2 linked regions of the Arabidopsis thaliana genome follow. The protein of the gene in region 2 purifies or fractionates together with the protein of the main gene of each other region. This does not show direct contact. Each region holds a gene or a part of one and is shown on either strand. Other genes may lie near its edges. The genes, in order: NIG1 and MYB28.

Region 1 (4,595 bases), 5.7 Mb from region 2:
ACTATATATAATAACAAGATCAGTTTTAAACCTAAGATACATGTATGCTTTAAATTTCTTCTTTGAAAATTAAAAACAAAAGGATAGCAAGAAATGTATTGTCTTACTCACCCACTTAAATTGGGATAGAAAAAATCTAAATTTTTTGATCTTCTTCAACATTTCATTCCAAAAACCCTAATTTTATCTATTAAAGGGTGTGTTTTAAAAAAGGAAAGTTGAAGATTTTTTTAAAAAGATTTTCTTCTAATTTTTATTTTGGTAGTCAAAATAAAATAATTTTAATAAAAACAACCTATCAACAAAAAATAATTTTTATTCAAATCAAATATACCATGTCAATTATAAATTAATTGAGATGGTAAGAGTAAAACTAGAATTTTGCTTTTGTTATTAGATCTTGAGTAAAATTGTAGAAATTAAATTATATGTTTTAATTAAACTATGTATATTTTCCTTCCAACCAAAAAAGTTTGGATATTAAACGTGCAATAATCTTTTTTTGGATTTTTCTCAAAAATATATTCAACCCAAATTTTTACCATTTGGGCTGAAAGTGCAAAATATAAATATTCATCTTTTTCATGTTAGTAAGATGAACAAACAAGAGGAAACAAAAAAAAAAAGAATTCAAGCACCATTTGTGTTTGTGTTCATCTCGTTCATTCCAGGGTTGACCATTTGCAATAAGTCCCCCTAATTTTGGGTCACAAGATTAGAACTGTATATTATCCAAAATCTAATAAAACGGCCATTAACTTATGAGAAAATCAACAAAACTTAATTACACTTTGACCCCATGATTAATTTTCTCAAAACACACCGCAGAAACTCTCAGCTAATTTTCGACATCAACAAATCCCTAAGCTCTTCCTGCTTGTAGATTCTCAACCCCATCTTCACGTTCGCTTGTTGTATCATAAGATCGTTCATCACAGAAATGCTCGCATGATTCACTTCTAACTCCAAATCCATCAAAGCATTCATCAATCTCGCTCCTGGATGATGATCCTTCCTTGATTCAACTCTAACCATTGCATCATCACTTTCCATAATCTTCACTTCGATCTTCATCATCTCTGATGCCTTTTCCTCGTATTTACAAACGCTAGGAATTGCGTTTCGTTGTCCTGCAATCTCCTTGAGTTCATTGAACTGAATCTCAATCGCATGTTTCTCCAATTCAACGTTTTCAGCTTTTGATTTCAGCTCGTTTATGTAACAAACCGCGTCTTCGAGCAACGACGTTTTGTCCATTTTCGATACGTTTGGTACAACCGCTCGTAATGCGTAGAATCTGTGGTTTAGCTTCTCACGTCTCATCCTCTCTGCTTCCACGTGGTTCAAAGGCTTGTCTCTACCATGCGCCGGTTTTCTCCCGCGCTTTTTTCCCTTCTTCTTCTCCAGCATCACCGTCGCGTGAGGGACGACGTTTTGAATCTGATCAGAATAAGTATTAGGGTTCCGATTTTCAAAACTCTGTTTAACATTCTCGCCAAAACTCAGTACATCGCCGCATGGAGCTCTCGCCAATGTGGAAGATGACGTCGAGAAGTTCAAATTATACCGGTTCTGTAGATAAACCGGACTAGGATTCGGGTTACCGGTTACAGTACTTGAACAACTGCTCTCTAACTGAAATGGGAAAAGCTCCGAGTTCGAATTCGGGGCTCCAGAAAAATATTTGGATCCTCCAAAAAGAAACCGGATCCTATTAAAAAGATCCGAATTTGGTCGGATCTCCTCCGTGGATGCAAGCTCCAACACTCCGTTATGTGAAGGAATACACAAGATGGTCTGTAACCCTACATCCCCTCCTTGTTTAGCCCGATCACAACCCGACCCGTAAATCAGATCCGAACCGGTAACCAAAACCGGGTTATAGCTAGCAAACGCCTTACCCGCTAACCCGGATCCGTTACCAAAACTCCACGTCATGGAAACCAAGAAGAACCACTCCATATCCGTCACTTCCACGTCATCGTCATCACTGACGTCGTCTTCAACCACCGGAAACGCTTCGCCGGAGATCATCAAGTTAAGCTCCCGAATAACATTACTCCGACGCTCTTTCTCCTCCGGAGACGACAGAATCGTCTTCTTCCTCCTCAACCTCCCTCGTGTCTTTTCCTCGTTGCCACCAGTGTAAACTCCGTCGCCCCATTTGAGAACTGCTTCACCGGAAAAGTCATCGTACGACGGTTTCCAGAAAATGGCGTAACTCCAGGGCTCGTGGGTTCCATTCAACACAGCATGTAAACGCTTCGGGAGAGTAGTCTCGAGGCTGAGATTCGCCGGAAGTAATGGTGGCGACGGATCGGAGGTCAAGAGAGCTTCGATCATCAATAAGTTATCGTCGGTATTAATCATCGTTGCCGGAGTATTAGAAGTCGTCTCAAGTCTTTGTATTTATATATCTAAACTAAACGAGAAACTATAGAGTATAGAGTGTACTCTTTATTTTGTTTCACACGAGTGCATGAAAATATTACATTTTTCTGTGGTTTTCTTTTCATGAATTTTAACGACCCATGTGCGATAGCTGATGTATCACTATCACCTATCACCAGGTAAAAGGACCACATTTTTCTAGGTAACGGGATTGTTTCGTCGTTGAACAAAATGGATTGAATGAAACACGATTATATGTCGGGAAATTTGCAAAATTGACTAACAAAAAAACTATAATTAAGAAACTAACCAACAACAAAAACAGAGATGATATTTTGTATATAAACTATAATATATACTAAAGTACTCTTATCTACACAATCACCATCTTTTTTATGCTATTACAACCATTACCCTTGCAACCGTCATCATCATCGCATCCACCATTATTTCCACAAATGTCATACCATCATCACCATCACCACTGCAATCGTCACCACCATAGAAACTACCATTACGCTGTCATCTCAACCACCATCACCATTATTGCCGCCGCAATTGACACACGACCACTGCAACCACCAACACAAATATTACTACGACCTACACCATACACACCACCACCACCTTAATCACTTCTTCCTCTCTTCCATTGCTTGTTTCACTTCTCTCGCCTCTTATCTTTTTTTTCTACTTTAACTTAATTAAAACAGAACCGAACTATAGTTTTCTATTTTACTTTCAATTTTGTACCATTCTATTTGCTAGTTAGAACGGAAAAAAATGAAAACGAAGACTCACAAGATCTTATTGAATATTTTCTGGTTTGATCAATATCTAAAATTGAAAATCCCTAACACAAATTTAAACCCAAAATCGAATCGATTTCAATTCGCTTTAGGAAAGGAGAAAAGAGATTAAAAGTATATAAACATGATTTTGTCAGATTTCTAAAAACTGATTCTTGAGATGATTTCATTTAGTTTAATTATTTTTGTTTGGGTTCCATATATAGTATCTTAGGGTTTAGTTTTCTTAAATCAATAGATGTTTTTAAATTAGAATGGATTGATATAAAAAAGTTAAATTTTCTGGAAATTTTTTGTTGGATTGGAGAGAAGAGAAGAAGCAACAAAGAAGATGATGAATGAAAAAGGTCTGTTAAAAAAACATTACCTTTAGATCAATATCTGATTCACAATCCATTACCTTTAGAACATATGGAATATTACCTTTAGATCAATATCTGATCAACAAAACGAAGAAGATGATGAGTCATGGCAAATTGGAAAATAGGGAAATAATGCAGGGATAGACTTGTAATTAGTTAGAGTTTTTGGTTACTTGCTGAATTACGTAAATTATATGGCTATATTCTTAATTTTTGTTCAATTATGGCTATACACCTAGTTCACCCATATATGTTATCACTCTTTCAAAAAAAAAAAAAAAAAAAAAAAATTATCACTCTTTCTTCTTCTTCTTCTTTTTTCTTTTGTTATCACTCTTTAATTCTATATGGATCAGGTTAACAAAACAATGTCAATGGACTTTGTTGCACTGCACTTCCTCATTTTTTTCATTATTACCTATACATTTTGATACTAATATACTCAAAAGTCAAATAACCAATGTTCGATTTCTCCCTTTTAACAATTGGGTTTAACCAAAGTAACGTAAAGAGGCAAAGTTAGCAATGCAATCCTTTAATCTCGCACCCCATCATGATGATTTTAAATAGACATTTTAGTTTTTATGTGTAATGGTGAAGCTTAACATTGATTCTGTGTTTCTATATTTTTTAATGGAGTTATTTTGTAAAATTTAAATAATGACGCAATCTATTGACGGAGCCGTGAATGCTAGATATTGACATTTGACAAAAGAGTTGCATAATTTTGAACTTAAAGTGATTAATGTAACAACAAAAATCTGAAATTACACTGTTTTGTATCTTTGTTTTTTTTTCTTTCAAATTTCATATCTTTATTGGGTTTATGTGGAAGGAAGAGCTTGCATAATGATAAGGAGACCAAGAAAAAGTGGGGAGGAGCAACTGACAAGTTAACACCACATCCTATTTAACAACATTAATGTCTTTTTCTTCATTTTTAAATGGGTACTTAATTTGTAAGATCACATCCTTAAGCTTTTTATTTTGTTGAAACAATCTTATTTGTGTTAACACAAATTATTTTTGAATT
Region 2 (4,812 bases):
ATTCGAAAAAATTGAAATAAAGAATTAAAAATCATTTAAAAAGTGAAAATTAGAAATCGAATAATTTATTTCTAATTCTTTGACTGCTAGAGCGAATTCAAATAATATGCACATAAATACTTTATATATTATAATATAATTACATTATTATTAAGATTCGATTTTGTGTTTAGACAAGATTTGTAAATCCAATTAGACTTCTGTTTCACCTCGTGATCTTTTGGCTTTCATGTAAATTGTTTATTGACCACACAAATACACTATTATTGCAACGTCTTTTTCGTTTGAGCATTTTTTGTTTGTTTTTCTTTTATTTTTCATTACTTTCACACATTTCTTATTAAATTCTACAATAATAGTAATTGGATTTATCGGAAAGAGAGATGTTGTGGTCGGTTCAAATCCAACGAAAGGTATCACTATACCACTACGTTGAATCGTTGATGACTTGATGCCATGTAAAGTTGTAAACAATAAATGAGTTTAATCATATAAAGAAGAGCATAAAAACCAAAAAGAGCATAATTGATGACTATTATGGGCACTGATGATTATAATGGGAAGTACTACTACGAAATAAGATAAATAAAACAAGCTTTAGAAAGAAATATTAGTATAAACATCGTGGCCCGCACAAATCAATTACCAATTGATTCGCGAGGTTACATGCATGGTTCTCAATGTAAGAGAAACCCTAACTCAAACCCTATTTTATTTATTCTTGGGGAAACTTAAGTGTTAAGATTAACCCTTGTTTAACATCGTAATAAACACGCCTTGGACATATAGTAAACAACCCAAATACTAATTAATACATACACAATATCTCGTTCGAGCGAGTTAGTAATCGACTAACCTTGGGTACAGAACCATTATTTTAAGTCGTCGAATAGTTTGAAACCTTTCTGTTTGGATATGAAGACTCATATGAAATGCTTTTCAAGCGAGTCTGAGTCGGTGTCATACATAAAATTGGTATGGTCAAGAAGATAATTTGACCATCCCTCGAAGTTTCCTACCATATTGTCTTGATCATCAACGCTAGTTGATGAGACTTCTTGGGAAACATCGGACATAAGGAGATCATTCATACTGTTCTCCTCATTGTGGTTATCTCCTCCGAATTTTTCGAAAAATTGTGAAAAATCGTAATCTTGGTCCATGTTGAGATCAGAAGTAGCATTGATCTCATGTTCGGGGTACAACGATGATGGGGAGAAGGGATCAAATTCAGCAAGAGTATTTGTCAGGGATGTGTTAGAACTATCCTCTTCATTGCGAATCTGCTCAGTGAAGCCATTAAAAAAGCTTGCATGTGATATTGTAGTAGCACTCAAGCTACCTTCCATGGAAGCCGACAATATATCTTTGATGGAAGTGGCCTTAGCCGCAACTTTGTTCAAGAGCCTTGATGTAGAACTTGATTTCTTGAAACGTTTCTTGCAACTCAAGGAACTGCCTTGAATCGGTGTCCCATCATTGCTGCTAAGCTCGGAGACCTTGGAAACCATGTTGCAACTGGATGGAGGAGGACGAGACAGAAAAGGCATTGAGCTCGATCGGGAGTATTGCTTGTCGGAACTAGAGGCATTTGGGGAATTCAAATTCTCATCGACCGTAGGGTTGGAACTAGAAGCCAGTGGCTTGTGAGTCACGGGATCAATACCCTGTTCCATCAAACGTTTTTTGAGATGCGTGTTCCAGTAGTTCTTGATCTCGTTGTCTGTTCTTCTAGGTAAATGTCTCGCTATGACCGACCACCTAAAGAAAATAAGATAGATCGGAGACCAAGATTAAAATGATGATTATGTCTACATAATAAATATTATATGAAAACTTTTTCATGAAATTCATTTCACATTCGAGGGTCCACGCACACACATAGAAACATAGAAACGTACTTGTTGCCACGAGAAGCATGAAGCATGATGATAATCTGCTCTTCCTCTGAACTAAACTCGCCTCTTTTGATCTCAGGTTTAAGGTAGTTGGTCCATCGCAGTCTACAACTCTTTCCACACCGTTTCAACCCTAATCAGACACAATATGTTTATCAGAACAATTTTCTACAACAAGTACAAAAATGAGTGTATGTATAGATTTGTATAAACCAGCTTTTTGGGGAATGTCGCGCCAGCCTCCCTCGCCGTGGTCGTGGATGTAAGAGATGAGTTTCTTGTCCTCCTCGGTGGTCCATGCTCCTTTCTTCAAGCCTTCTCCGACGCAACATGGCTTTCTTGACATTGTTTTTCGATATAGATGAACAATAATGCGTAAAATTTCATATAATTAACCTCTCACAAAACTCAAGATATAGGAACAGAGAAAAACTATATATGTTCAAAAAAGTAAAATTCTGAAGGAAATTGTTTAATCAGATAAGGAAAAAGAAACAGATCTGTTAATGAGAACTCTGATACATCTGAATATGAAACTGATCGAGAAACACCCTTTGATCTTACCCACACTGCTGCTACGTGTTTTCATTTTTTTAACGCAGAGTAGATTTTAAAAAAAATATATGTTATAAGCTTATGGAAAAGAACCAAGAGGCATGATTTCTGTGGTAGTGGTGAGGTTATGAGCTATTCCATATATATACACGTACGTAATGAGATTTTTTTTTTTTTTTTTTTGTGAAAACGTAACAAGATAGTTATGGTTAGTAAATTATTTAAATAGATCAATAGTTAAAAAGGATAATTCGTAACTTTTCTATGAAAATAATGTCCGAAAAGTGGTGTTTGTATAGTACTATATTTTCCTACTTTCAGGTATTTTAAATACGGTAATGCGCTTCGGTACGAGATGCAATATTTTAATTTATATATCACGTAAACGTACCTGTAGGTTCTTGCATATTTGTACATTTAACTTTTGGTTATTAAAAAAAAATTGAATGATTGATCCAACATGGAGAGTTGGAGGGGAATAACTAAAGGGACGTTTGCAAATATATATAACTTTTAAGAATTCGATTGTATTATATATATATCTTTGCAGATATTTTTGTATTGTTTAAATAGTTGGTTTCTGTTAGGTATATATATAAAAAAAAACTATCAAACAGTTTAATACTTAAAACGTATTTTACTATTTTTATACTGCAAACGCATAATGAAAAAACAAATCTGGTTAACGAGAAAGTATAAATTTACATTATTGTTTTTCTTATCAATAATAAACATTATTGTTCATCATTGAGAATGAAAGGGTGATTGTAACATCACGTGTTTTTTTTCCAGCGTAGGTCCTTTTTGTTTGCCACTTTTGTGGCTGTTGTATTATTGCTCGTCGTCTATACCACCTTAACATATTCTTCTTTCCATTGTCTAAAAATCATTCTTAAACAAAAAATATTCTTCTATTTATATCATTCCCTCTTTGACTCTCTCAACCTAAACCTTATGATTTAATTCGAACTAGTCTTGATGAGGTTTCCTAAGGTTTTGTTAGTTATCGGAATAGTTAGAACAATATTTTCTGATGCTATTCTTCACGTATGTATATGTACCTATGATTTTATCTCATGCGCATTTTTCAAGGTAGAGTGAAAAAGATAAAATTTATACTCCCATGGATCGTTTAAAACTAGACCTTGTTTGATCTAGAAAAATATTTTACATAGAACACAAACTTGTATTGTATATAAATTTAATCAAATTTAACATCTTATTTTGCATTATAAAACAAAAATATGTTAGTGCCACAAAGTAAATTCTATATAATTAAACACCTGCCACACCTACACTCTTAAGCTAGGTCTGCCCCTGCCTAGTTCTCGTACTGCAAGCTAAGTGAACTCTTATCAATTTGTGCGTGTGTATATTTTACTTTGCTATTTTGAAGTTCTTGATTATTATTCTTTAAGTCGGATTTAGTATTTAGTTTTTAACAAAAGGAACTCTTACAAGGAAGATAGAATATGATACAGCTATGCTTGAAGAAGGCTTGGGTTTAACATTTCGTTTTGGTCGGTTTTCGTGTTGAAGCTTTCTATGGATAGAAGCCAATCTCTCATTGTTCTGTTGGTTCTAGTCATTGCTGGAGTGAAAATGTTAAGAGCTACGATAGCTCCAAACTGTGTAAAAAGATTACCTGAAGTAGGAGTTTTATGAGAGCGCCACATATTTAAACCATCTGCATTTCTACAATTTTGTTAGGATCAGTTTGGGTTACTACATAGAGTAATCATTTGATTCTTCTTTCTTTTGGGAAAATTTTAGTCAATAAGTATTGATTATATCCCTAAGATCCGCTGGTTCCAGTCAGTTATATATGTCAACCTACTTAAACGGTCCCATAGTGTATCTTCACTTATTCTTGATTATTTCCTTGGTCCCATAATATTTTAGTTATTTTGCAAACTAAAACTCACCATAATCCTTCATTTTACAAACCTAAATTTTCGCAACGACTCACTTCCGAGCATTTACATTGCTTCAATTCTTCTAACTCTTCGTGATTTTGTAGCTTTTTTTGTTGCGGTTTTATCTTATTCTCCACTATCATTTTGCAAAACAAGTTGCTCTACATTTTATTTTGTGTCCTAACTTTTTTCTAGTGACGTAAATTTTATACTTGGACAGGTTGCTTTATCCACTCAAAACCACAGTTATGTGATCTCTAGCATTTTCGACAATTTATTTATTCTTTCCTGTTGACTGTTGTCACTCTTGTTTTGTTCCGATTATATGCGAATATACTTTTTGTTATATTAATCCCCACATCACACGAGGTTAAATTCTTTTTCTTTTTAATGTTCTTGTAGTTAATCATCTTTTTGTTTAACTTTATATCATGCTTAAACAC

What was found.
Region 1: the proteins of MYB28 (region 2) and NIG1 purify together in Arabidopsis thaliana (affinity purification with a luminescence readout, with the first as the bait; one study listed by BioGRID). This does not show direct contact.

Annotation. Positions count from the first base shown.
Region 1 is NC_003076.8:19,000,494-19,005,088, reverse strand, and holds NIG1 (calcium-binding transcription factor NIG1), read right to left. Parts: upstream 2,526-4,595; 5' UTR 2,371-2,525; coding exon 835-2,370; 3' UTR 705-834; downstream 1-704. Other genes in the region: AT5G46825 (uncharacterized protein), read right to left, coding at 2,590-2,670, 2,806-2,875, 2,910-2,963, 3,028-3,044.
Region 2 is NC_003076.8:24,688,552-24,693,363, forward strand, and holds MYB28 (myb domain protein 28), read right to left. Parts: upstream 2,637-4,812; 5' UTR 2,245-2,636; coding exon 2,112-2,244; exon of another isoform or gene 2,032-2,111; coding exon 1,902-2,031; intron 1,762-1,901; coding exon 924-1,761; 3' UTR 518-923; downstream 1-517. UniProt on the Arabidopsis thaliana protein: Major regulator of short-chained aliphatic glucosinolates (GLSs) biosynthesis. Together with MYB29/HAG3 and MYB76/HAG2, promotes aliphatic glucosinolate biosynthesis but represses indolic glucosinolate biosynthesis.